Linked DNA regions of Macaca mulatta. The protein of the gene in region 3 interacts with the protein of the main gene of each other region in a pairwise test. Links are inferred from orthologs where the notes say so. Each region holds a gene or a part of one and is shown on either strand. Other genes may lie near its edges. The genes, in order: GRHL2, NFYC, LMO4, myomegalin, ITSN1, RBBP8 and KIAA1958.

Region 1 (3,955 bases), on a different chromosome or scaffold from region 3:
TTTCAATGAGGCTCACGAAGCCTCTCACTTGCTCAGGAAGGAAGCCCCATGGTGTGCCCAGGGGCCCGTTTCCTTACAGTCCCCACCGCATCTCACACACATAGTTGCATAAGCTTCAGACCCACCCCTGCCAGGGCTCCCTTAGAATATTAATATTAAGAAAACTGGGCTAGAATTCGCAGAAATGATCCAGAAGTCATGTATTGACTTAAAGCATTTTCAACAGCCCAATGAGAGAGGAAACAAACCAGGTCGAATTGTCTCTTTGCACCATTGTAACCATTACTTTTCCCAGGATACAAAATTTCGTGTTGGAAACCACGACTAGATAAAAGCAACGTTCATTAAATGTAAGCAGACGTAATCCCAGATACTTATCACCCATAAAAACTAGGTGATGTGTGTGGTGAAACCAGATTGCGGGCGCTCAGTACTTATTTCTGGTGGTAAACACATTGTTCTTATTGCTGCTAAATATAACTGGTGAAAATAGAGACCGACTCGTTTTCATTCAGAATTCGAGTCCTGTTGTATCACAAAACTAAGCAAACTAAACGTTAATTGCGCGATTAATTAAACTAGATTTGCAATCATCTTTGACGCACGCAAGGATCAAAACAAACCCCAAAAACTTGCTGTCGCCTCGGGATTTGGCTACTGAAAATTTCAAACTCGAGTCGTGTTTCCTTAAAGACTAGAAAGATTTAGGGAAGAGCTGGGGGTGTTCTCAGACGACCACACACTCTCCTCTTCCTACCCTGCCTCAGACCCTCTCCTGTGTTGGTAACGCTAGTTCTTCCCCTCCGGTATGCTGTACTCGGTTAATTCCTCATCGGTGGCTAACGGGGTACAACTATCTGGCAGTTTTTTGCTTGTTAAGTATGACAGCGCATTTTCTTAGGTTCGCCTAACCTACCAAGCGGCTTTATGTTGAAGCTAGTCCTTCCCCTTCACCCCTGAACAGATCCGCTGGGCCTTCCCACTCCTTCCTCGTGGTCCCTCAACTTGGGACGGGTCCCCACCACTTCTCCATGACAGGCCCAGCGGCCCGCGGCCTTGGGGCACCGGCCCTCTCCGGCGACACGCCTTCAGGAAGGCCACCTCGGGGTGGCCGCAACGCCACGGCAAAGTTACCGGGGAAAGCAAAAGGGCGGCCCCGCGCATTCCAATAGGACGCAGCCAGTTCCCAGGCCCGGACGCGCCCGAGAGGAGGGGGAAGGGAGTGTCCCCGCCGAATCCCGAGAAAGGCCGCGGGACCCACCTCCGGCTCCCTCCCGCGCCCGCCCAGGCCCCACCTCCCCCGGATCGCACAAAGCCTTCCGAGGGCGGGGGCCGGCCCGCGGGGAGGCCGTCAGGACGCGGCCAGACCGGGCCCGGTGACCCGCGGGCGACTCCGGCCGCGCAGGCTGTGGCTCGCCGGCGCGTCTGGAGTGCCTGTCCGGGACGGGAAGGACGCGAGCCCAGCGTTCCCCCCGCCCCGAGCCCCCGGCCTTGACGGCGAGAGCACCCCAAGAAGGCTCTGCGCGCCCCACGCAGTCCCGCCTGCCGCGTCCGAGTTGGCGGCCAACTGCGTGGAGGGCCGCGAGCTCCAGGGGCTTGCAGCCGCCGTCGGGGCGCGGGTGAATCGCTCAGCAGCAGGCGCCCCTTGGCGCCCCGCCGAGGCCCTAACTCGAGGCCTCACATGAGTTCCCCCACTTTGCGAACCGTCCTTTCCCCCGGGCACCTGAGGAAGGTGGCCAAACAATGCGGGGGCGGACCCGGGGGAGGGAGGCGGGGGAGGGGAGGAGGGAGGCGGGATGTCGAGGGAGTGGGGGACGGCGCCGGCCGCCCCCGCGCCCCCCGGCCTCCCAGCGCCTCGCCTCCCTTCGGGGCCACAGGCGGGCGCGCACTCACGCCCACCCTCCTGCCCGGTGCGAGAAGATGGCCGTTTCTGCCTCGGTATAAAAGCTCTTTGTTGCGGTCACACAAAAGCGGCCAAGCCCCACTTTTCCAGTAGGCCCTTTGGACAAATCGAAGGAACTCAGCTGAACTTCCAAATGGCCCTAAACGCCAGATCGGTGGGAGCAGCTAAAGCAGAGGGGGAAGAGCAGGCCTCCCGCGCCCATCTACCAAAACCTCTGGCAATATCCAAGTATTCATCCGGGAGCGGGAGCTGAGACCATTCCTAAGGGAGGAAGGAAAAGGAAAACCCACTTTTACTATCAAGGCCCAAAGGGGATATTAAACATTCACATTGTTGTAGGGTTTCTCCTCTTAATCAGGGTAGAAACATAATGCGGAAAAGTCTGGATCCACCAAAAAGAAAAAGAAAAAAGAAAGAAAAATACCAACAATAGCAACTTAAAAACAAAAACAAAAACATAACAAACCAGTTGCCATCAGCCCAAAGTGGTAGTAGCAGCAGCCGGCGCGTGTGATCCACTTACTTGTCCGACTCTTGTGACATGTTTGATCCAATGAACTTGCTCCCCTTTTCCTGGAGCCTCAGCCTCTGGTGAAACTGGACTTTCAAGTCTGTGCAGGTGAAGGTGTGTGAGAGCGCCCGAGATGGCAGAACAAGAGCTACAGGTAATTCTGCTTTTCCGTCCCCCCTCACCACTCTCGCTCGCTCGCCCGCTCGCGCCCTCACCTAGCCGGAAAGGTGGGATAAGGGGGGGCCCCTCACATGGGGCCCGAGCTCGGAGGCGGCCGGGCGGCGCGGAGTCCTCCTGGATCGTGGCAATGGGCAGACACAGAGCAGAAAGTGGCGGACTTGGGCGGCCACAGGTAACTTTCTCGCAAGGAGCTGAATTCTTTCACTAAAGGGTACAAGCCCGAGGGACGAGCTGCGCGATGATTGGCTGGGGAGCTCCCTCAGGTGAGCTGCCATTGGCAGAGGCGCACTCAGGTAAGGCCCTTCTCCAAGTGAAGGTAACTCACTCCGAAGTTTACCTGAGTGGAGCGGCGGCATGCTTGCAGCTCGGCGGCAGCCTGTGAGAGCTGAGGGTCAGTTCTTCGAGTAGACCTCAAGCTGCGTTTTCCTCCTTCTCCAAGGCAGGGATGGGAAGGTCGGGGGTACTGGTTGAAGCGAAGAAAGGGGTTGGGGGAATGCAACACCTGCAAACACTAGGGATTATGGGTCGAGCGGAAGAACTAATGAGAGCCGAGCTCAGGTATCCCAAGTCAACCAGAATCAAATGCGCAGTACGCCACAAGGCATTTAATGCCCACAGTAACAGGGCTGTTTGACAGTGGCAGAAGAGGACGGGACTAAAGTTACTTTGTGCTGAGAGGGGGAAAGAAACACAAAGTTTGGTCTGTTGCGTAATTGAATTTTTAACATTCTTATCCACAACAAACACTTTTCGCGTCCTGTTGTGTAAAAGACATCAGATATATTACAGATTTTCAAGCAGGTGAGCATCCTTTTACGAGCTGGGCAGGTGGGGAGTGGCGTGGTTTTGATGGAGTGAGGAGATTTGGTTGAATGGACACTAAGATGGCCAGGCGCACCTCTTCGATCTCAACTCTGCAGCCTGGGATTCCAGAGCTGCAAACAACCACTGAATTCGTTCTGTAAACCTGTTGTCATTTGACGTTTCCAGGCAGGCATCAACGTTTACATTGTAATTCAATAGACGCTACCGCTACAAAGGTGCTTTATTCTTCCAGCTTAATATGGTTGCTACGGAAACACTGCAGGATGAAACTGATTTTTTTTGTGGTAATGTTTCTCCTGGTTGGGAACAATGCAAATTAGCAGAGGTGTAATTTATAACCGCCGCTACCAAAGAGTGAAGTGTTTGTGGAAGTTCTGACTGGGATCTAGCTCGTACATATGGATTGTGGAAACAAAGGAGGACGTGGAAAGCTTACCATATTTTATTTCAAGTTAATACTAAAGCTGCCAGACTTAATACAACTTTTCTTTTAATCTTATGGATCACATATTTTCTGAAAATTACACGATAAAACA
Region 2 (3,500 bases), about 47 Mb from region 3:
GGATTTTTGTCTGTTTTGTGTATCGTTAATCCCCAGAGCCTAGAGAAGTGCCTGGCACACATTGTGGGTGTTCAGTTAAGTATTTTTAGAATAAATGAATAAACACATGTATTTTCTACTTTGCAGGTAAAGGGAAACAAGAAGAGAAAACAATTTATTTTCTTGGCTTCACTGTTAAAATAGTGCCACTGTTTTATACTTGTTACACCCTTCTTCTTGTATCTGGGAAAGCTTTCCTCTAAAAGCCAGGGCTTGGCTATAGGGTGAGGGTTTCTAGAGTCAATGACCAAGGGCTCTGCATACAGTATGTATGTGGATTTGCTGGGTTAAAATTAAAATTAAAAAAAAGAAGAAGAAGAAGAAGAAGGAGAAGAAGAAGAGGACTCCCAGGAAGGCAGATAAGGAACAAAACGCCTAATGAAGCTAGTGAGACCGCTGATACTTCCTGGAACCGTCCTTTCCTGGAATCTCTCAAGGCTCCCAAGCAGAAGTTGTTTACGTCTGGAAACAGATAAATACTCTATCACTTGAGCCTCTGTTTATAGTGAGGGCTCACCAAGGGAAAAGAGTTCAGTCACTAAGCTGTGAAAACCAGGAGAGAATTAAGATTTTTGGTGGAGAAACACAATCACCATGGCTAGAAAATATGTCTGCCTCCCAACAGTGGAGATGCCAATTACATGTCAGCTTGATAGAGGCCTAAAGAAGAACAATCTTTGGTCCAAAGCCACGCAGGAGAACAGGCAAAGGTGGCTGCTTACCCCAGTTTTCCTAATCTAAGTCTGCAATAATACCTGTAGAGTCCGGCGCTTGTTATCTTCTGTGTGAATCCAGGCTCGAAGAGTCAACTCTGTGATAAAAATCTGGGCTGCCTTGGCAAAGAGTACAGGCGCTTCTGCACTGATCATCTGTAACAGACACAGGCCCTCCCTGTCAATCACCAGCAAGTCATTCAAACCAGTCTGTCTCTTGCCTCATTGCCTGGCATGGGACTATGGGGCAAGGGTCAAAAAATGAGGTGGTATGCTCAAGAGATTCCAAGGTAAAATAAATTCATGAGTAGGAATAAAGCAGGGAACAGGGAGAAAGAATACTTATTTAGCACCTACCATGTGCCAAACCTTGTGCAAGGTGCTTTCTTACCCTTATAATAGCCTTTCAAAGAAACTAGGGTTTAAGAGAGATGAAGTGACTTGCCCATAGCCATAGAGCCAATAAGTGGCAGGGTTTAGGTTCTAATCTAAGGAGAAACAATATGGGGAAGGAGAATGAGCTTGAAAGCCAATGGATTTGGGTAAAACTGCAGGTTTCCCATCCTTTTGGGCTTTGTTTTTCACACACTGAAAAAGAGGATAACCTTCCAGTTTTATTGTGGCAATCAAATGAGATAATATATGTACCCAGCACAGGACTTGGCGCATAGGAAGTGCTCAAGCCATATAAACTTGATGTGTCTGATTTCAAAGTTGAAGCTCTTGGTCAAACAAGGTTCTAAACCTTTGGTGAGGTAGTCTGTGCAGGCTACAATCACAGAAAGAGCTCTGGAGTTAAAGCAGCAGCAGATGGGAAATGCGATCTTGGTCCTAGCACTCTGGGTGAGTCACTTAACCTCTTTGTGTCTATTTCCATTATCTGTAAAAAGGAACTGATAATTCTTGTTATATCAAATCTCACAGGGCTACTGTTAGGAAGAAAGGAGCTAATAAAAAGGAAAATTGCTATCAATTGTTAGCTTTCTGTGAAAATACAAAAGACTATTAATTTTGAGTGGTAAAGAGACAGAGTTCCTCTTTCTCTGAGATCTATAATGGAGATGGACTCCTAGGAATACAGAAATGGCCAAGCCCAAGCAAACCCTCTCACAAGTGTTATTCATGTAAAAGAAACTCACAGATCAAAAAGTTAGAGCAGGTTGAATATCATTATCAAAAATTTCTTAAGAGTTCAGATCAACAAACTATATAAGATGCTAAGATGATGGCACTGTCCTGTTGACTTGATGATACACGTATATGCTACACTGTGAAAGGAACTGTGAGATACCGGCTAGGCATGGTGGCTCATGCCTAATCCTAGCACTTTGGGAGGCCGAGGCTGGAGGACTGCTTGAGTCCAAGAGTTCGTGACTAGCCTGGGCAACACAGTGAGATCCTGTCCCCTGCTCCAAAAAAACATTAAAAATTAGCCAGGCATGATGGCATGTGCCTATAGTCCCAGCTACTTGGGAGGCTGAGGTGGGAAGATCACTTGAGCCTGGGAGGTAAAGGCTACAGTGAGCCATGATTATGCCACTGCCCTCCAGTCTGGGTGACAGAGTGAGACCCTGTCTCAAAAAGAAAGAAAAGGCCAGATGCGGTGGCTCACATCTGTAATCCCAGCACTTTGGGAGGCCAAGGCAAGCAGATCACCTGAGGTCGGGAGTTCAAGACCAGCCTGGCCAACATGGCGAAACCCCGTCTCTACAAAAAATACAAAAATTAGCTGGGTGTGATGGCAGGCGCCTGTAATCCCAGCTACTTGGGAGTCTGAGGCATGGGAATTGCCTGAACCTGGGAGGCAGAGGTTGCGGTGAGCCAAGCTCACACCACTGCACTCCAGCCTGGATAACAGAGTAAAACTCTCAAAAAAAAAAAAAAAAAAAAAAGAAAAAGAAAAAACAAAAACCAACAACTACTATTTTTTCAACATCTAAAAAACCCAGGATATCCTTAATTTTCAGGATGATCCATATAGTAACCAAAACTGCTCAATTTTGGCTCACTTAACAATTTTAAACAGGAATCAAATAACAAAGCAACAGACAGTAATTTTTTGTGTGTTCTTGTTTAATTAAACTTTGAGCTCTAGAGCAATGAACAATAACCTACCCATCACTCAGCTTCAATAAGAAATAATAAAAATGAATGTGAATTCACCTTCACATCTTCATCCAGTTTCATAATCTTCTTAATACGAGCCAATGGGAGTTCCTGCACTCGGAAGTCTTTCTGAAATGAACAACAAGAGATGCATAAATGGTGGGCACAATCAACAGTGTGGCAAAGCATGACAGGCAGCAGGAAGCACTCTGGCTTAATCCCTCTCTTCAGGAAGTCGGGAGAGGAGGTACAGATGAAATGAAGAAAATACAAGCTCCAGAGCAAAATTCTTCTTAACATATGCAGGTCTTCAAAGAATTAGTGGGCTTTAGAAAAAGCTTAGGATGGCCTCTAACAGTGCCCTCATGAAACGGAGCCCCAAGCAATATCTGTTTTTTTTGGTTTGTTTGTTTTCGTCAGCACATAAAGGGACATTATGAGCGCCTTCACTTTTTTTCCAAGTAAGTTTACCAGTCTGCAATATGCAGATTAAAATGAGATTTCTGTCTCAGGGGTATTCCTCTAAAGTTCCAGTTCTTTCTTCCATTCAGTGATAAACTGTAACAGTAACGCCGGGGCACTTGACCACAGTGACCCACAGTTCTTCACAGCTGACAGTGGCTATTTCTGATATTTGCACTA
Region 3 (4,168 bases):
CGCGGCGCCTCCTCCCAGCCCCCGCCTCCGCCCACTGCCCCCCTCCTCCGCCGCCCGCCTGCAGCAAATGAGGGTCAAACCCACCCACCGCCGTGCCCGGCCCCTCCCCAGCCCCCGCCGGGCCCCGGGACAGAGTCGAGGGGAGTGGTGAGGCGACGGCCCCGCCGGAGCCTCGTTCCCTCCCGGGCTCTGCCCTGGGAAGTGCAGCAGGAGTTCACAAGTTGGAAATAGTTCGGTTTTCCGAAAGGGAAGGAGGGAGGGACCGGCAGACGGAAGATGGAGAGCGTGGTGGTGGGAGGGAAGGCAAGGTGACGGCAGAGGGGGTGCAGTGTGTAAAGTTGCGAAACTGGTTTTTCGTATTTTAAGCAGCACCTTTCACATGCCATTGTGGTGACCGCCATCTCCCATTATTGTTCCAAATCTCATTTCATTTTGAAGATCAATGAGTGTTTTCTCTGGGTTTTCAGGACACAGGCAAGAATAATAGATCATTGAACTTTAGGATGCCTGTTAACTTCCTATACAAACACTCTCCACTTTGGTCTCACTAATCTGCCCTTGATCAGCAATTTAAATGCTAAAGCTTTGTTCCTCCAAAGGGGGGGGGGGTCGGCGTTACAGATAACGTGCGAGAAGGCAGCATTAAGGGATGCACAAGTTAAATTCGAGCCCGTTCTGCTGTCACCAAAAACTGCTTTAAAAAAGAATTCCCCACTCTAATGAATGCCACAAGAGATGCAACTGGGATATAATATAGGAATCAATTTATAAAGCTTAGCCTAAACCGATTAATTTGTTGCCTTCAATTCCGAGTCCAATAAAGTCCTAGTGTTCCTCTAGTCACTTATTCTATAAAAAGATCAAGTTATTTACTGCCAATTAAGCAGCCTGTTTTGTCTTTGTCCTCTGTAAGCTGAGAGTGTGGGCTCCCCCTGAGGCTCCCGGCTATCTGCTCAAGACATTCAGCTGATACCTCAGAAGAAGGCGAACTTTGCCTGTCCCCGGCCCAACTTGGCTGCTGCAAAAAAACGAGGAAGGAACGAACGAAACAGGGACTCGGGTTCCTTAAATAGGCCGATTTTAAACACATTTCCTCCGAAAGAGTCCCGGAACGTGTGTCCAGTGACCGCACAATAAACCAGAATAAGAACTGCACCAATTAAGCTGTAACAAAACCCTGAGACTTTGGAAACAGGACCACTCTAAAACCCATTAGCATTGCATTTATCCGAATGCATCATACCTTTATGTAAATTGATTTATCTGATGCATTTACTCGAGGAATTGCTTTTTGTTACAATTTCAGCCCTAACCCAAATGAATCTGCATTTCCTGCCCTAGGTCTTTAAACTGTTTCCCCCAACGTTTTAATCGCTCCGAATTCCTTTTTAAAAGGAGAGAGGGAGGAGATTCCCAGCTCTTCCCCGCCCCCATCTTTAGTGAGAGGTAAATATATATGTATTTTTTTTTTTTTGAAAAGGAAACATTACACTGAGAAAAGCATCCAGTAACCCCATTAGCTAAAGCTCTTAAGGACAAGCAATACCTTAATGCTGATTAAATCTAAAAGAGATGAATCAAGAGGACTGACCAGAAACTGACTCCCCTGATAACTAAGGACGGGCCCTCATCAAGTTTCATTTAGAGTTGGAAAAAAAAAAAAAAAGAAGAAGAAAGCTTTTAAGTTAAATAGGCTTATACTCTAGTAATTACATAGCCAAGCAATTTAGGTCCTGGGATAGTCAGTGAAATAGAAAGCAGAACTGGCAGCTAGAGGCAAAATCTGCCCCCCTTTAATAACGTCTCTGGTGTTTTTTAATGGAGACCAAGGGAGGGACAAACGTAACGCTGGCAATTTGTAGTACAAAAATGGATGCTTAATTCATGTCTTGATTTTAATTAGGTGATTCACCGTATTTCTCCTGGATTGTAACAAAAGACTTATAAACCAAGAGGTTTTAAAAAGAACTAGCAATACCGAATCCTGCTCACTTAGACCCTTCCTGCCACTGTTTCAAAATTAGTGTTTACTAGAAGGGGGGGGTTATCGTGACTATCCCCACCCCCACCCCCCCAAACACACTACTTCTCATACTTAAAACCTCATCTAAGCACCCCTTGCCCTTTCCCTCATGAACTAGAAATATCCCACCCCCTCTACGGTCCCCACCAGCCCCGTTTCCAAGAAGAGCCCTTTTGTAAGCAGGAACCGCTACAAAGCTGGCGGCCCGGGGCTGCCCTCCGCGCTAGCTCGCAGGCCGGCCTCGGTAGTTTCAGACTCGCGCTTTATCTAAGGCGACGTATTGTTTACTTGCAATTTGGGACGGTAAGGGGAAGGAAGCCAAAGAAAACAGCCCTGGCCCGAATCGGCCCCCTCCCTCTCTCTCCCACCTCCCGGCCCGCGGCTCCCCCAGCCGCCCCCTTACCTGCTTTTCCCCTATATTGCAATATTGCAAGAGGCGGCGGCGGTGAAATGCGAACGAAGCCGCTCGGCTTCCAGGGAAGGGGCGCCTGGGCTGGCGGAGCTGGAGGGAGGGAGGGAGTTCTCGCAGAAGCAGGAAAGGGGAGGAGGGGGCTAAGGGCGGCTTTTTTTTTTTAAATCGCGTTGCTCTGGGGCGGGTTGGGGGGCCCCCGCGTAAGTGGCAGGCGGCCGGGAGCAGAAGTGTCAGTCTCAGTCTTCGTCCTTCTCCTCCGCCTCCGGCTGCGCGCGAGCAGCTGCAGGAGCCCTCGGCCCGCGCGACGCGGCTTCAGGCGCGGTGCAGCGGCAGCAACTGCTGCAATCGCTGCTGCAAGTTTGGCAATGTGGCTTCACTTTGTATATTCCCCCGCCCGGCGGCCCCCGCCCCCGCCCGCGCTCCTCGCGCTCCTCCCGCTCCTCCTCCTCCGCCGCCGCCTTCCTCCCTCCCGCGCGCTCGCTAGCTCGCTCGCTCGCTCCGGGCTGGCAGCGGCGGCTCGACTGAGCTCCCTGCACCTCCGCCCGGGAGCAGCCGCAGACACAGAAACCCGGGGAGCGGCGGCGGACGGTGCGGAGGCCGGCAGGCAGGCGCGCCCAGGAGTCGGGAGCTGCGGCCGGCCGGGCCCGACGCGCTGGAGCCTACGCCGCTGCCGGGACTGTTGCCGGGGCTGCTGCTGCCCGGCGCGGAGGCGGAGGCGGAGGAGGCGGCGGCGGCGGCGGCGGCGGCGGCGCTGGCCTCTAGCCGGCTCGCTCGCTCCCTCCGCGGCTCTTACACATGTGTTACTGACAGAGCAAAATCCCAACTACTCCCCGGCTCTGCCTCCGACGTCAGCGACCCTCAGCCACTGGGCGGCCGGATTGTTCAGGCGGAATAATAAAACCTGCCAATCCGGGGAAGGACAAAGGGATGACTGAAACGAGACTCGGGGGGCGGGGGAGAGAGTGAGGCGGCGGAGCGGGCCGACAGAGGAGAAGGGAAGGGCCCGAATCAGGTGGGGAGAAGTGACCCGCTTGGCGCCTGGCGCCGGGGACCCGCTTGGGCTGACCTTCGCGACCCGGGATCCGGAGCCGAGACCCGGTGGGGCGGGGGGGCCTCACCTGCCTTCTCTGCGCACGGGGACCCTGAGGACCCGCTCCCGCTCGCTCCTCGGGGACTGCCATCCCCTCGATCTGAGAGGAGACCCTTAGGAAACTTACCATCTTTCTCAGAAATGGGTATCTTCCTGTTTGGGAAGATAAGTCCTGCATCTTAGGGCAGTGAACTTCTATCCCCTCACGCACACGCACACAGAAGAGGGTTTTTGTTGTTGTTTCTTTAATTCACGATATTGGAGATTTATGAACCGTAGTGGAAGCTTAGTTAACAAGGTAGAAACATAAAGGAAATAATAGTTGCTAGCTAAATACTGCCTACTTAGCCTCCCTCATCCCCCATTTACCCGAGTGTGAAAGTGCCTAGCAGGCATTTCTTGGATCCTTGTCAATTGCTGGTGATGTAGGGAGCACAGTCCTTATTTTCAAAGTTGACGAAAACTTCAGGGAGAAAACCTTGCCCGACTACCCTCCTCACTGTGGAGGATGAGAGGCGGAAATTCTCACAGCCCCCAAAAGCAATGGAAGTAATTGCGAGATTTGCAATCTCACAGCCTCTAGAGAGTAAGAAATGTCACTTCTAGTATAAATCAAGTTTTGAGGAATGCTTTTAGGGTGCTG
Region 4 (3,500 bases), about 33 Mb from region 3:
ATGCCAGCTGAAGTGATATGCTGGAATTCCAGGCAGCGGCTGAAAAGGCTCAGTCTCATGGGGGCATTCTGTGATCATGTGACCGTGGGACCTGAGGGGTGGGAGGTGGGTGCTGAAGCTTTAACTGAATTTCAGCTCAGCCAAACTTCAGAGAGGTAAAGAAACTGAACCTTTATGGATTGCCAGGGTTATGATGTCTCCGCCTTCTCCACACCCCTTCCTCTTCTTGATTTTTTATCCAGGGGCCAGGGGGTTGGTGGGGAATGGGATGTATTTACAGCTGCAATGAAAGCAGCCACCATGGGTCAGAGATGTCCCTCCAGGGACACTCCTCTAAGGTCCTGTCTATCCCAATTCACTATGTGGCTCCCGATTTTCTTGAAAAGCTGTGACACTGAAGAGACAGAACAGTATTGGAGGGCAGGAAAACTGGGTTCAAACCAAGAAAGGACACTGGCATCTTACCACTTTGCCAGGCAGCACAGGGATGTGGGTGCTTGGCAGGGCCGCTCTCCAGAACACGGTGAGGAGGGAAGCCGACTCCTCTAGGGCATGGTGCAGGGCAGTGGTGCTGCTCCGAAGCTCATGTATGCCTTTGCTGCCCATCACCTGGGGAAAGGTAACACCACAGAAGCGGAGAGATTACTTTCTTCCCCCTGCATGGGCTCCCGCTTCCTTTGTGAGTGAGGCACAGAACATGGGCCTGCTTGAACTGTGAAGCCCTCGCACAACCATTTGCAGCTCTCAGAACTAAGGTGCTGGTCCCTTTACCAGGTATGCCTCCCTCCACCTGCAGAACCCACAAGGCTTTCAAAACTCACCCCCCTTGCTGTGTCCTCTATGAACCTGTTACCTTCCTTGCCTGAGATAAATGACCACGTTTGCATTGGCGGCCTCACAGCACAGAGGATGGCTTCTCATGCTGTGTCTGTAGCCCCTTACTGTGCTGATCTACTTGTGTGTGTGTCTTGCCCTCTAGTGTGGGGTTCCGTGGAGGCAGGGCTGTCCCTACGCATCCATGGGTCTCCAGCAGCTCAGACAGCACAGCCCTGGTGCCTGGTCTCTCTCACTGGCAAGGCGCTCTGAGAAGCTTTGCTGACTGCCTTCCCTCCCTCTATGCAGTCTGCACAAGGAAATGCCATGGCTGCCAGGCTTCTCACCCCTTCCACATGTGGGGGCCATACACCTGCAAATCCTTCAGTTTCTGTCCACCCCATTGTGTCAACTCTGCCCACAGATGGTCATGTGCCTGCATAAAGCAATGGTAACAAAAGCCAAAATTGACAAATGGGATCTAATTAAACTCAAGAGCTTCTGCACAGCAAAGGAAACCACCATCAGAGTGAACAGGCAAACTACAGAATGGGAGAAAATCTTTGCAATCTACTCATCTGACAAAGGGCTAATATCCAGAACCTACAAAGAACTCAAATTTACAAGAAAAAAACAAACAACCCCATCAAAAAGTGGGCAAAGGATATGAACAGACACTTCTCAAAAGAAGACATTTATGCAGCCAACAGACACGTGAAAAAATGCCCATCATCACTGGCCATCAGAGAAATGCAAATCAAAACCACAATGAGATACCATCTCACAGCAGTTAGAATGGCGATCATTAAAAAGTCAGGAAACAACAGGTGCTGGAGAGGATGTGGAGAAATAGGAACACTTTTACACTGTTGGTGGGACTGTAAAATAGTTCAACCATTATGGAAAACAGTGTGGCGATTCCTCAAGGATCTAGAACTAGAAATACCATTTGACCCAGCCATCCCATTACTGGGGATATACCCAAAGGATTATAAATCATGCTGCTATAAACACACATGCACATGTATGTTTATTGTGGCACTATTCACAATAGCAAAGACTTGGAATCAACCCAAATGTCCATCAGTGACAGACTGGATTAAGAAAATGTGGCACATGGCCGGGCGCGGTGGCTCAAGCCTGTAATCCCAGCACTTTGGGAGGCCGAGACGGGCGGATCACTAGGTCAGGAGATTGAGACCATCCTGGCTAACACGGCGAAACCCCGTCTCTACTAAAAACACAAAAAATTAGCCGGGCGAGGTGGCGGCGCCTGTGGTCCCAGCTACTCGGGAGGCTGAGGCAGGAGAATGGCGGGAACCCGGGAGGCGGAGCTTGCAGTGAGCTGAGATCTGGCCACTGCACTCCAGCCTGGGTGACAGAGCGAGACTCCGTCTCAAAAAAAAAAAAAAAAAAAAAAAAAGAAAATGTGGCACATATACACCATGGAACACTATGCAGCCATAAAAAAGGATGAGTTCGTGTCCTTTGAAGAGACATGGATGCAGCTGGAAACCATCATTCTCAGCAAACTATCTCAAGAACAGAAAACCAAACACTGCATGTTCTCACTCATAGGTGGGAACTTGACAATGAGATCACTTGGACACAGGAAGGGGAACATCACACACCAGGTCCTATTGTGGGGAGGGGGCAGAGGAGAGGGATAGCATTAGGAGATATACCTAATGTAAATGACGAGTTAATGGGTGCAGCACACCAACATGGCACATGTATACATATGTAACAAACCTGCACATTGTGCATATGTACCCTAGAACCTAAGGTATAATAATAAAAACAAGAAAAGAGGAAAAAAAAAAAAGCTCCCAAAGGCTGCTAGGCAATGCCACATGTTTCTGTGGGGCTGAGGGGAAATATCCAGTCAGCTACATCTGGAACAGAGCAGAACTGACAGTGAAAATAGGAGACAGAGAAGACAGGGCCTGGCTGCTGTACATGGAAGAGGAAGCCTCAGCTGTTGAGAGATGCAAAGCACGAAAAACAAAAACAAAAACAAAAATGGTGGGAGAAGGAGTTACCATCAAAGGAAGAAAGGGCACAAGGAAACAGTGCATCTAAAGCTACAGGTGTGATTACCTCTGTGCCTTGGGCTTCAAGGCCAGGGAAGCTGCACGCTGACCTCACAAGAGACACTATCTTTTTGGCCAGCAGCTTGCCCTCCACAATCTGCTGTCTCAGGGCACTGTAGTCATCAATGTGGCCAATGACATGGCGGCCATGCTTATTGGCAAAGGAGCCATCAGTAGCATCACCCTCCAGCTTGGGAGGGGTCTTCATTACTGGAGAAGTATCCAAACCCAAGCCTGGAAAAGAAAATAACAACACAACAGAATCCTCTGTTATTCATAATGATATCCTAGGTTTGCTCCAACTCAGAAGAGGTAGGAGACAAGAAAAGGAAGAGGCTGGGAACAAGAAAGGAAGCCTTGGAATGTACAAGGGTGGGGCAAAGACCATAGAGATCTTCTGGCTTCTATATTTTTGTAATTTTTCTTACATCATCTCTTAATGATAAATTTGCCAGGGGACAATTTTTTCTTATTGGCCAATGAAATAGGACAAATCATAATAAATAATAAGTTTCTGGGTAGAGAAGACACAGACAAGGAAATCAAGCTGGATACAGAGAACATTTTCAAGAATGGAGAGATTATGGTGCAATG
Region 5 (4,198 bases), on a different chromosome or scaffold from region 3:
TGATGTAAGTGATCTGAGGTCCACACTTTAAGAAACCCAACCAGTAAGTGGAGCCAGTCAGGAGGAAGTGATCATTCAGAAGGGAACAGCTCTATGGCAGAAGAATTTGAGGCGCAAACATAATCCAAACTCTCATGTCATCAATTCTCTACAACTCCCAAATTTTAGCAAATTAAAAAAACGATTTAGAGTAGAGAAATTTGGACGAGGCATGGTGGCTCATCCCTCTAATCCTAGCTCTTTGGGAGGCTGCCTAGGTGGGAGAATCGTTTGAGGCAGGTGTTTTAGACCAGCCTGAGCAACATAGAGAGACCCCGTCTCTAGAAAAATTTTAAAAATTAGCTGGGCATGGTGGCGTGCACCTGTGGTCCCAGATACTCCAGAAGCTGGGGTGGGAAGATCACTGGAACCCAGGAGGTTGAGGTTGCTGCCACGACTGCACCACAGCACTCCAGCCTGAGTGACATAGCCAGACCCTGTCTCAAAAAAAAAAAAAGAAAAGAAAAGAAAAGAAAAAAAAGAAAAAAAGAAATTACCAGCAGCTCCTCCTTAACCTCTTACAGGAGGTTTGACAGTTTGCCCCAATCTAGGTATTTGGGGAAAAGAGAAACTTGAGCAGAGGTTCTACTACCAATATTGAAGATAAACCTTAGGGAAAAGAAAATTGCTAGTCGACTGCCAAAAAAAAAAAAAAAAATCTAAGAAGGACAAACATTTCACAGAACTAACTTGCTACCACTCATTTTATGCCCTATTTCACAATGCTTAGTATCTGAGCAATCCAGAGGGTTCCAAAGTACATTAAAAATTTGTTCATTTCCTCTCTTACTCAGGCAGAATAATAATAGAGTTTTGTGAAGGTACCATGCGCCCCAGCAATTTCAACAGAAGCATTCCTAGATAATGAAATACCATTTTTTAAAAAAGATCATACTATGAGAAATGATCTTTACTGGACTACTTAAAGGTGTCTGAAATAATTTTAACACCAGCATCAAATTAGTGTCCCTCACTCCTTAATTTATATGACTTAAAAGTCCCTAGATTCTTTACAAACCCATCTGCACTAGCGATTTTTCTTTCATATGTATGTAATTTTTAATGTTTTTACTTACAAGGAAACTCCCATCAAAACAACGTTTCAAGCACACCAGTAAAAGAAATTTTAAACAGAAGCATATTTTATTCTCAGAGATAAACTAAGAAATAATAACTATGAAGGGTGTTTAAGCTTCCGCACTCTCAACCTTCAAGTCATCTAAAAATAAAGGTATCCCAACAAATACATTCCTCCTATTCAAATTTTGGGGGTTTAGAGTGGCACCATGCAAACCAGCTGGCCTGCTGTGTCCTGGCCCCAGTTCCTGCCCTCACATCCTGTCCACTACATAATCCATGAGATATCTGTGCCTTTCTCTTCATCCGTTCCACGGGATTAGCAAAACTGCCTCCCCGCTGACAGAACTGAGAATTTCTAGAGGCATTTGTTTGTATGGGATTTGCTGTTATTAGCCTCCCTTTTCATTGGCCTTGTTTTTATTATCTGTACATTTTGATCAAGGGGAGCAGCAAGAGAAGAATGCCAACAGACAAGCACAAAGAAACGCATCTGGCCGGAGCCTGCATATATTTAAATTCCCAGGTTGCTGCTGCCCTCAGAATAGCACTGATGATGGCAAAGTTCTAGAGGAAACTTTCATATTGAAGAGGCTATAAAAATCTCTATAGCCTCCAACTCCACAGAGAAGCCGCTAATCTATTTCTTCCAAAGCAAAGCCTTCTTGAGTCTGAATCACAACAAAAGATTGCCCATAGGAAATGTAATCTCCGAAGTTGTTTTCTAACCCCAAAGCAAGCAGAGGCGCAGGAAGGTGCGGCCGATTCCTCGCCGGTTTCCTTTTTTTAGGAATTCTGATTGCATTCCCTCGTGCAAGCAAGGGACTGCAATTGTGCCTCAGGTCCACACCACAAAACCGTGCCGGTGCGTAAGAAGGCAAGGGACGCGGCGGATCCGGGGACGCGCTCACAGGGCGCGGGAGCCGCTCTCCGTTAAATGCCTTCAGGGGCGGCCCCGCGGCGCGCCCTGGGGCCGAACTGCATTGCCTGCCCTTCACTGACCCGGGATTCCGCAGGCTTGCGAGCGAGGGAGCGAGGAAGGAGCCGGGGCTCCAGGCAGAGGCGACGCCGCTCCCGCCAGCGCGGGTCCCCGGGAGGCCGGCGGGAGGCGAGGCCGGGCCGCCCCGCGCCGGCGGCCGAGGGCAGCGAGGTCAGCCTGGGAAGGAGCGGACGCCCGGGGTCCCCGCGGCAGGAGAGAGCCCGCTCCGCGGCGGGGCCGCGGCGCCCATTCATCCCTACGCCCGTCCCACGGCCATCACCCCACGGCCCACCGCAGCCCCCGGCCTCCCAGTGCGGGTCCGCCCGCCATCCCGTCGCCGCCCCCGAGGACGGGAAGGACGAGGCAGAGGGGCGGCCGCTGCCGTCTCCCAGGCGCGCGGCGAGGGGCTAAAGGCGGCCGGGGGGACAAGCGCCGGGCGCGGGACGGACGCCCGGGGCAGCCATCGCGCCGACCCCCGCCCCCGCCGCCGCTGCCCGCGGTCCAGGCCGCCGCCGTGCAGTCCTCTCCTCACCTCATCTCCGGGCGGGTCCGCGCTGCCGCCCCAGGGACAAATCAGTGTCGCTCACGCGCCGCGGGGAGGGACGCAGGAGCCGCAGCCCCGCACACCATCCCCGCCCGCCTCTCCGTCCGTCCCGGAGCCCGCTCGGGATTCTTCCTCGCGAGCCGCCGTACTACGGAGCAACCAAGCTGTGCTCCCTCCCCTGGCGCCTCCACTCCTCTCTACCTCCTTCGCTCCCTCCCTCGTTCCCTCGCTCCCGCCTATCTCCTCATCTCCCTCCGCTGCCTCCCCCGCCCCCCATCCACCCTCCGTCTCCGCCCATAAGTGGGTGGGGAAACCGCCTGCCAATCGGAAGAAGGGGCCCGCACCTTCTCACCGCCCTCTACCGCTGGCCCCGCCCACCGTGCTAACCCGAGGAAGGGGAGCCAAAGAAATGTAAGACGACAGAGTGACAAGCTGAATGAGCCAGTCAGCAGGCGCTGAGTGGGGGCAGGATTAGCACTCTCCCCCTCTTCCCCACGTAGGCGTAACCGGAGATTTCTGGTCTGAGGTTGCCTATCGTGGTTTATGGAGATTTTGTTGCACGATTTCGGTGCATCTGCTCGTTGCCGTGCGAGGCACTAGATAGAATGCACTTAATTGGCTTAATTATTGGAGGTTTTAAAGGAGAGAATAATGTGGAAAGGATAAAGGAGGCGAAGCACAAGCCAGAGGGGTTGGCCGGGCCCATGGTTGGAATGAGGAAGGGTGTGATCTTCGGTTAGGATTTGCATAAAACGGAACCCATCCAGGCGATTCCAACTTCGCCCATTTATTGGTAGTCCTTGGGGCGGTGCCTCGCCTCTTTCTCCGCCCCCGAGCGGAACATCACGGGAGATGTAGTTCCAAGACTGGTTGCCATGGCGTTCTCGACAGCCTCGCGAGTCCGACCCCGCCCTTCAGGAGTGACGAGCGGCCTGACCAATGGGAGCAGGGGGCGGGCTCTCTGCGGAAGGACTTGAAGGTGGCGGTGGTGAAGGTGCAGGCCGTTGTGGCGGCTCAGAGGCAGGTGAGCCCCGGAAAAAGCGTCCTGTGTCTTGGGAAATGGGACTTTAAGCGAAAGGTGGAGAGATGCCCCGCGGAACCGTGCAGCCCTGGGGAGGATGGTGGTTCGCGTCGAACCCCAACCTGGGACTTGTTCGGGCCCAGGCCTAGCTTAGCTGAGGCCGCTGAGGGGTGGGTAAGACTAGATTTGAGGGACAGTTTCCTTGGACCTTGACGGGTTTTTATTGTAGGTCTTATCTCAGTTTGCATCTCCCTGTACTTTTATGGAGGTAGAGGTCTGGGAGTGCCCTTCCACTTAATCTCCCAGGTTGGGTTTTTCTCCTCTGCTTTTTGTTCCTAGAATTTGAGTGTCTTTTTCTTTCTCTGTTACTTCTTCTCAGCTACTTTTTTCTTCCTCATCACTTTGCTGTTTTGGGAAAGCAGTTAGTAGTTATTCGCTGTATGTGGCTTTTGAGCCACATCGGCCCTCTTCATTACGCTAAACAGCGGAATCATCTGGAGCGAGATGTAAGCATCGCCTTGGCATAGGTCTGGGTGCG
Region 6 (3,500 bases), on a different chromosome or scaffold from region 3:
AAAGTAAAAATGTATATAACCAGAATAACCAACTATATGTTGAAGGAGAGAAATGGTTTAATTATATGGAATTCATTGTAATGGGATCTCACCAATAGCTTGTAAGTTTTCACCAATGTGCCCGTGATTACCTTAAACTATCTTCAGTATTTCTTGTAGATTCCTCAAAAGGCTGTTTCTTGTGATCTCCTTCCAGACAGTGGTAGAGCTCATTACCAAGGGGGCTCATGGGACCTTGAGTTTCCTTCAAGAGTAAAATAGGAAGCACACCCATGTAATGGGATTTGTTCATTCTTAAAAAGGGATGAAGTACTGATATATGTTACGATGCAGATGAACCTCAAAAATATACTAAGAAGCCAGACAAAGGCCATATAACATATGATTCCATTTATATGAAATATTCAGAATAGGCAAATCTATAGGGACAGAAAGCAGATTGGTAGTTGCCAGAGGATGCAAGTGGGAGGTGGAAGAATGAGGTGAGGAGAATGGGGATACACGATTAATGGGTATGAGGTTTTCTTTGAAGGTGATAAAAATGCTTTGGAACTGAATAGAAGTGATAGCTGCATAATATTGTGAATGTACTAAATATCATAGAGTTGTACACTTCAAAATGATTGTTAATTTCACCACAATGAAAAATATGAAGCACATTCTAAGTTTAAAGAGAAAAGCATCAGTGTCTTACATAAGTATATTCTACTACTTGCATATAAAACTCCAATTCCAAAAAACAACATTAAGATGTGCAGAAGGGAATAGAGATAATTATTCATACTGATAGGAGATGAATTTAAAATAATCCTTTACAGAACAGTGCTTCTCAATCTTTAACATGCATACAAGTCAACTGGAGATCCTGTTAATGCAAGTTCAGTAGGTCTGAGATTCTGCATCTCCACCAAACTTCAAAAGTGATGCAGATGCTGTTGGCCCATGGATCACACGTTGAGCAGCAAGTCATTAGATTTCAGCTCCTTCGATCTATTTGGTGTCTAAGCTATGACTTGCGAGGTTTATGGGTAGGAGGGAATTAGAAAGTATTAAAATGCATTCAAAGTTCAAAGGTTAAAAACTACCCATTATCATTTAAGAATGAATTTAAAACTAGAAAGGACAAACAAATCCCTATGTAATGAAAAACCAATTCAAGTTTTAGAAATTCAACAGCAAGACAACTTAATAAGAGTACAGCTGGATGTGGTGACTCATATCTGTAATCTCAACAACACTTTGAGCAGGAGGATCTCTTGAGGCCAGGTGTCTGAGAGCTGTCTGGGCAACACAGTTGAGACCCCTATCTCTACAAAAATAATTAGCTGGGCATGGTGGTATATGTCTGTAGTCCCAGCTATTTGGGAGGCTGAGATGCGAGGATCACTTGAGGCCAGGAGTTTGAGGCTATAGTGCTCTATGATTGTGTTTGTGAATAGACACGCACTCCAGTCTGGGCAACACAGTGAGACCCTATCTCTAAAAAATAAAACAAACAAAACAACAATTCTGAAATCAACCTAAAGGTTTAGGTCTATCTCTTAGATGAGGGCAAGGAGTGGGCATGAGAGAGGGGGAAGTGAAGAAAGTTGACAAAATCTCTATGCCGTGATTACTCCCCTAAATTTTGACTCAACCCATATCCCAAGAATTCTAGATTCTAGATTTCTGAGACTGCTGGGCTGGACAACAGAAATAGGACTTTCTAACAACATAAGTTTTGTTTTAGGCCTTTACTCAAGATCTTTAGATAAAATAATTCTCTTGCTTAATTCTCTAAGAACTGACCTAAAAAGATATAAAATTAATTCATGTTATTGCCAAACTAAACAATTACTTACAGATTCTTCCTGAACACCAAGTCCAAGTGTTTCAGCAACAACTGTAGCTAAATTAAAAGATGACTTATCAGGGGTACAGCTGCTTGTTCCATGTGTTTCTAAGAATAAATAATAAACCATTTTAATAAATAATAAAACCAACTTTACAAAACTGTAGAAGCTAGACATATTAAAATGACAAAAGAGAAAGGAAAAGGCTCATAGTTTGTAAGATGGCACTAGACCCATTTTAAAACTCTGTGCAAGAAGTCCAATATACCTACCATAAATGGCAATAAGTTGCAGGTCCATGCATGCTAAAATTTTCCAAGTAAATTTTATGTTTTTCCTAAATGAACTGAATGTAATAGGTAATTTTTCTTATTGCCACTGGGGAAAAAAATCATAAAATGGATTTACAGTGGAATTATTGTGACTTATGTTACAGCATGAATATCAAACTGTATGTACGGTATCTTTCATGAAAACATACTTTGTAGGAGAGGTTGTCAGCACTGCATGTTTCAGGTTAAGATAACACATATTCATAAATCACCTATGTTCTAGTATTTTATAAAGGTTTAACTCAAATATTTATGGAGCACTTATTATGTTCCAGGTATTGTGCTAAGCACTAGATGAAAAGAAAAGTTCTTGTTCTCAAGGAGCTTATACAGTTGCAAGGTAAAAAGAGAATTGCAACAGAATGTGATAAACATATTATAATAAAGGTACATAAAAGGGGTGATTCAAACATAGAATAAGGACTTCTAAATCTCTTGGGAAATCAAGGAAAGTTATAAGTGATGCTTAAGCTGACTCAAGAGAAGGAAGAATATGTCAAGTTAACTGGACTGGGACAGAAAGAATTCTAGGTATAATTAAGGGTCTAGATAAGTGAAATAAAATTGCTTGTTTGGGGTTTGCTATGCGTGGTTTGACTGCCAGAAGTCAAACTGCAGAAGATGGGAGTAGGACATGAACCCAGTTAGGTTGGTTAGGGGTCAGATTATGCTAAGGAGTTTCAAATTTATCCTGTAGACAATGAAGAGATGTCTAAGAGTTTTAAATAAAACAAATGCAATGTGTGGGCTGAAAAGGTATTTGTGGCTGTGACACTCACTAGGCAAGAAGCAATCACTAATAGGCAAGAGGACTAATTAGATTACTAGAACATGTTGTCTTGATGAGAGATGTTAGTAGCCTAAACTAGTATAATAGGGGCACAGAAGAATATGTAAAACAGATATGTAGGAGGTAGAATCAGTAAAACTTAGAGGCTGTTGAGAAAAAACAGATGAAGCAGAAATCTAGGATGACTCAAAGAGGCATGTATAGTGTCATTCACTGAGATTGCAAATGCAAGGATAAAGAGTTAGTTTGACAGGTTAAGTGTCAACTGTAGACATGCTGAAATTGAAGGATATCCCTGTAGAGATATCCAAAAGCAGGTAGATACACGGGTTGGGAATCCAGGAAAAAAGTTGGACAGAGATACCGGTTTGGGATTTATTAGCATATGAATGAGAGAAGACTACTGACTCTAGGTGACATTCCTCCAGGAAGAGATAGAAAGTGAGGCCAGGTACAGCGGTTCACGCCTGTAATCCCAACACTTTGGCAGGCCGAAGCAGGTGGATCGCTTGAGCTTAGGAGAGCGAGACCAGCCTTGGCAACATG
Region 7 (4,299 bases), on a different chromosome or scaffold from region 3:
GGCATGGGTGAAGGGAAGCTAAATAAATCTCTGATGCAGAAAGGGGGTCTGGAAAGATGCCAGTAGGAGGTAGCCTCAGGTTCAGTTTTGAAGGGGCTGGCCAGGTGAGGAAAGAGAAGGGCAGCATATCAAGCAGAAGAATGAGTTTCTCACCAGTAGGGAGTTTAGAGAAGAGGGGACCACAAGAAGTATGGGAAGAGGACATGGTCATAGGAAATGAGGCTTGAGAGGTGGCCATGGCCACATCAACAGAGACCTTAATAGTATGTTAAAGGATTTGAACCTACCTAACCTCCCTGACAGGGTGCCATGGAGTCAGGTCAGGGAATGGCTCAGGTGTCTGTCCACTTTGGTGTAACCACCTGACATTGTGGTTAGACCGTGGTGCCTGAGTGCAGAGCACCAGCAAGTCACCTCTTGTTACCCACATCTGCAGATAGCCAGGGCCAATAAAATCACACATAAAGATTCCTGTGCCTCCCTGCCCAGTGCTCCCAGGACCCGCCTCTTGGCAAAGCCTTACTAACCTTTCTAGCCCCTTGCAGACTCCACATGTCACCTTTCACTTTCCTACCCATCATGTTGTCCTCACTCTTCAGGGACTCCTAACAAGGGCTTCTTTTTGTCTCCTGCCTAATAAGGAATGATTTGCTTCTATTTGATGGTTGGTTATGCTTGGCTTTATGGGACCCTCAGATGGTGGAAAACACCAGACATACTTTGTAACCTCTAATGGTGGGATGAAAGGCAATATTTCAGGAATTGCAGGCAGCCAGGAGACAGGAAGCCTGATCCTAAGAGTGGTTAGAGCAGGGCCTCCTGCTTCCCCATCCTTGCTGCTTCGGTCTACAGCCTGCCCCTCCAGCAGGTCTTTTCCCGGTCTGTTCTCCCTCCTCTGCTGAATACTTTTCTTTCCCATTTCTCAAATCGAGCTCCTGATCCTCTCCTTGGACTCCTAGTTGCATTGTCGTCTGGTGCCCAGCAGAGAACTGGCGTCCTTTCTCTGACCTCTATCCTAAGATGGATCCAAACCTCCTTTGTTGGCTCTGCCTCTAGTAGCGAAGTTTCTGACATCAAAGGGTGTCATTGGAGCTGCATCCTCTTGGTTAATGCAAGTAATAGACACAATTTTATTATTGAGGGACCATCTGAACCTCTCTGTCGGTGACTCTGGAAGTAAAATGTACCATGGAAAAGCTCATTTCTTTATTACTTGTTTCTTTTTCCTTCTCTCCTTTTTCCCCCCTTAGGCAGGAATTATTACAACAATAAAGAAAACTAACAAAATTTTTCTCCAAATCCCACAACCATGAGTCATCAGCTGTTTTTACTTTTCCTGATATTCTCTTCCAGTCCCTGCTCATCTACAGCGACATTAACTAAATTCGGTTTTGAAGTGCATTTCTTTTTTATGCCAAATGATCATATTTGGAACAGACTGAAGTAATCGAGCTATAGGAATATCTTGGGTAATAATGGCTTCTTCTTTTGATTATTTCCCTTTAGGAGTGACACTGCTGATCCTGTAACATGGAGGATTGTCTTCATACCTCATCTGAGAATCTGTCCAAATTGGTCAGCTGGGCCCACAGCCATGGGACTATTTGCAGCCTCATTCCAAACCTGAAACACTTGCTTTCTGAAGGTTCCCATGGGAACCTGACAGCAATGTGGGGCTGTAGTGCTGGCCATGCTTATCACTGGCCGCTAACAGCTACTTGCAGAGCTGGGTCCCAAGAGAGGGTCTGTTTCCAGGATAACAGAAGTTTTAACTCTGATAGTCCCAGTATAATCGGGGTGCCCTCTGAGACACAGACTAGCCCTGTTGAAAGGTACCCTGGGAGACCAGTGAAAGCAAAGCTAGACTGTAACCGGACCAGAGACTCTTGTGACTTCTCCTATTGTAGTGAGCCCTCTGAACTGGATGAAACTGTTGAAGAATATGAAGATGAGAACACCCTGTTTGACATGGTTTGTGAGTCTTCTGTTACAGATGAGGATAGTGACTTTGAACCCCAAACCCAAAGGCCTCAAAGCGTTGCTCGCAAAAGACCTGGGGTAGTCCCATCTTCCCTCCATTCAAGCTCCCAGGCGCAGATGGTTGACGAATGCAGCAATGATGTCATCATCAAGAAAATCAAACAAGAAATCCCTGAAGATTATTACATTGTGGCAAATGCAGAACTGACAGGAGGAGTGGATGGACCAGCCCTATCCTTGACACAGATGGCAAAACCCAAGCCTCAGACTCACGCTGGTCCCTCCTGTGTAGGGTCTGCTAAACTGATTCCCCATGTCACATCCGCCATCAGCACGGAGCTAGACCCACACGGTATGTCTGCATCCCCCTCTGTGATCTCCAGACCAGTTGTCCAGAAGACTGCTAGGGTATCTCTGGCTTCACCAAACAGAGGCCCCCCTGGTACCCATGGCACCAACCAACAGGTGGCCATGCAAATGCCTGTGAGCACATCCCATCCTAACAAACAGATCAGTATCCCCTTGTCTGCCCTGCAGCTGCCTGGACAGGATGAACAAGTTGCCTCTGAAGAGTTCCTGTCCCATCTGCCCAGCCAGGTCTCCTCCTGTGAGGTAGCCCTTTCTCCCTCAGTTAACACAGAGCCAGAAGTGAGCTCCAGTCAGCAGCAGCCCCCAGTCGCTCCAGCCATAACCACTGAGGCCACAGCACAGTGCATACCAGGTATGGCATATGAGGCGACAGCGAGTCCCTCATCCACGCACGCCAGAATTCTGCGCCGTCAGCACTTCTAAAACCATTCACTCCAGTTTGCTAGAATTCAGTCCTTTGTTAGTCATGGAAAGATAGAAACAATGACTCTTATGTCCAGGTGATACTATAAAGGAAATTCATAAGAATTAAGGCCATAACCAGTTGGCATACCTTAGGGCTGAGAGGACAGCTGTAAGATTGTTCTGTTGATATTGTAGCGTTAGATTTAAGGTTGATACTTGTCAGCTGAATTTTTATATAGTAAAGTTATTTTTGAAAGTTTTAAAAATACGTTTTTCTATCAGTAGCAAGGTGTTTAGTTGTTGTTTGAAGCCAAAATGATGTTGAGTAAGGCATATCTTGACAATAGACCTAATGCTTTTCCATTATTATTTATTTGACTGAGCCAACTTGACATTGCTATTCATTTTAGTTGGTGTGGTAGTTAATAAGTTTTTTAAAAAGCAATAGACATTTCTAAAAGAGGTATTTGATCTTTTCTCTTAAAATTTAAAAGAATACGGAAACTTGGATTTCTGGAATCTGTGAGCCTAACTGGAATGGATTGAGAGGAGAGTGAAATAATTGTACGAGGCCCCCGCACCTGTAATTCTAATGTTCTAATGTTCTTTAATTCTGACATTCAATATTTATTTAATCTGGGCCATTAGTATATAAAGGGGTTGGGTCTCATGCTTTTGCCTTCGTGATTCAAATCTAGTAGGTTAGAATAGAAACGTGGACAAGGACAAACAAATGTGCAGAAATCTGTGGCATGTTTTAGTTTATTTCAGCCCTTCTCAAAAACGTCGTGTATTTTGGGAAATGCTTCCTAGAAGCCTGAGGCACCTGTGCCTTTATCCTGAAACTTCCTTGGATTAAGTTGCTTTACAAACTTTTTTTCCAGTTTTAGTTTCAACCTTAAGATTCCCAAAGAAGACCTTCAGTTTATGATTTTTGTGAAGACATAGTCGTGGTGTTATTAAGAAGATATTCACTGAAAATATTTCTCTCCTGATTGAAGATCATGCTTTTCAGTTTATTCACTTTTCTCTTTTTTAAATAATAGTTTTATTGAGATACCATTCACATATCATAAAATTCACTCTTTTAAAGTGTACAGTTCAATGGGTTTTGGCGTATTCATAGCATTGTTACAACCATCACCATTATCTAATTTCAGAATATTTTCATCACCCCAAAAAGAAACCCCATACCCTTTAACAGTCACTTTTTCCCTCCTCCTAGTTCCTGGCAACCACTAATCTACTTTCTGTCTATGGATTTTCCTCTTCTATATGTTTCATATACGTGGAATCATGTATTATGTGGTCTTTTGTGACCGCCCTCTTACGCTTAGCATAATGTTTTCAAGGTTAATCCATGTTGTAGCATTTCTTTCCTTTTTATTGCCAAATAATATTTTATTGTATGACTATACCATATTTTATTTTTCCTTTCATCAGTTGATGGACATTTGGGTTGTGTTCGTACTTTGGCTGTTATGAATAATGCTGCTGTGAACATTTGTGAACAGGTTTTTGTGTGAGTGTGTATATTTATCTTGC

Evidence for each region.
Region 1: the proteins of LMO4 (region 3) and GRHL2 interact in binary tests that used the Homo sapiens proteins (3 or more experiments, as listed by UniProt). The two-hybrid records come from large-scale screens. The link is inferred for Macaca mulatta from reciprocal best matches to the Homo sapiens genes LMO4 and GRHL2.
Region 2: the proteins of LMO4 (region 3) and NFYC interact in binary tests that used the Homo sapiens proteins (3 or more experiments, as listed by UniProt). The link is inferred for Macaca mulatta from reciprocal best matches to the Homo sapiens genes LMO4 and NFYC.
Region 4: the proteins of LMO4 (region 3) and myomegalin interact in binary tests that used the Homo sapiens proteins (3 or more experiments, as listed by UniProt). The two-hybrid records come from large-scale screens. The link is inferred for Macaca mulatta from reciprocal best matches to the Homo sapiens genes LMO4 and PDE4DIP.
Region 5: the proteins of LMO4 (region 3) and ITSN1 interact in binary tests that used the Homo sapiens proteins (3 or more experiments, as listed by UniProt). The link is inferred for Macaca mulatta from reciprocal best matches to the Homo sapiens genes LMO4 and ITSN1.
Region 6: the proteins of LMO4 (region 3) and RBBP8 interact in binary tests that used the Homo sapiens proteins (3 or more experiments, as listed by UniProt). The link is inferred for Macaca mulatta from reciprocal best matches to the Homo sapiens genes LMO4 and RBBP8.
Region 7: the proteins of LMO4 (region 3) and KIAA1958 interact in binary tests that used the Homo sapiens proteins (3 or more experiments, as listed by UniProt). The two-hybrid records come from large-scale screens. The link is inferred for Macaca mulatta from reciprocal best matches to the Homo sapiens genes LMO4 and KIAA1958.

Annotation. Positions count from the first base shown.
Region 1 is NC_133413.1:111,832,829-111,836,783, reverse strand, and holds the start of GRHL2 (grainyhead-like protein 2 homolog), read right to left. Parts: upstream 2,801-3,955; 5' UTR 2,767-2,800; coding exon of another isoform or gene 2,548-2,766; 5' UTR 2,447-2,547; coding exon 2,427-2,446; exon of another isoform or gene 2,370-2,426; intron 1-2,369. Other genes in the region: uncharacterized protein LOC114680429, read left to right, coding at 2,548-2,766. UniProt on the Homo sapiens protein: Transcription factor playing an important role in primary neurulation and in epithelial development. Binds directly to the consensus DNA sequence 5'-AACCGGTT-3' acting as an activator and repressor on distinct target genes.
Region 2 is NC_133406.1:200,033,421-200,036,920, forward strand, and holds part of NFYC (nuclear transcription factor Y subunit gamma), read right to left. Parts: intron 2,988-3,500; coding exon 2,916-2,987; intron 909-2,915; coding exon 795-908; intron 1-794. UniProt on the Homo sapiens protein: Component of the sequence-specific heterotrimeric transcription factor (NF-Y) which specifically recognizes a 5'-CCAAT-3' box motif found in the promoters of its target genes.
Region 3 is NC_133406.1:153,320,423-153,324,590, forward strand, and holds the start of LMO4 (LIM domain transcription factor LMO4), read right to left. Parts: upstream 2,801-4,168; 5' UTR 2,427-2,800; exon of another isoform or gene 1-2,426. Other genes in the region: uncharacterized protein LOC144332728, read left to right, coding at 2,801-3,370. UniProt on the Homo sapiens protein: Transcription cofactor. Plays a role in establishing motor neuron identity, in concert with MNX1, acting, at least in part, to disrupt LDB1-LHX3 complexes thereby negatively modulating interneuron genes in motor neurons.
Region 4 is NC_133406.1:119,875,563-119,879,062, forward strand, and holds part of myomegalin, read right to left. Parts: intron 3,141-3,500; coding exon 2,914-3,140; intron 610-2,913; coding exon 466-609; intron 1-465. UniProt on the Homo sapiens protein: Functions as an anchor sequestering components of the cAMP-dependent pathway to Golgi and/or centrosomes.
Region 5 is NC_133408.1:13,742,166-13,746,363, forward strand, and holds the start of ITSN1 (intersectin-1), read right to left. Parts: upstream 2,801-4,198; 5' UTR 2,628-2,800; intron 1-2,627. UniProt on the Homo sapiens protein: Adapter protein that provides a link between the endocytic membrane traffic and the actin assembly machinery. Acts as a guanine nucleotide exchange factor (GEF) for CDC42, and thereby stimulates actin nucleation mediated by WASL and the ARP2/3 complex.
Region 6 is NC_133423.1:69,417,563-69,421,062, forward strand, and holds part of RBBP8 (DNA endonuclease RBBP8), read right to left. Parts: intron 1,940-3,500; coding exon 1,842-1,939; intron 245-1,841; coding exon 132-244; intron 1-131. UniProt on the Homo sapiens protein: Endonuclease that cooperates with the MRE11-RAD50-NBN (MRN) complex in DNA-end resection, the first step of double-strand break (DSB) repair through the homologous recombination (HR) pathway.
Region 7 is NC_133420.1:45,741,093-45,745,391, reverse strand, and holds the start of KIAA1958 (uncharacterized protein KIAA1958 homolog), read left to right. Parts: upstream 1-1,499; 5' UTR 1,500-1,530; coding exon 1,531-2,701; intron 2,702-4,299.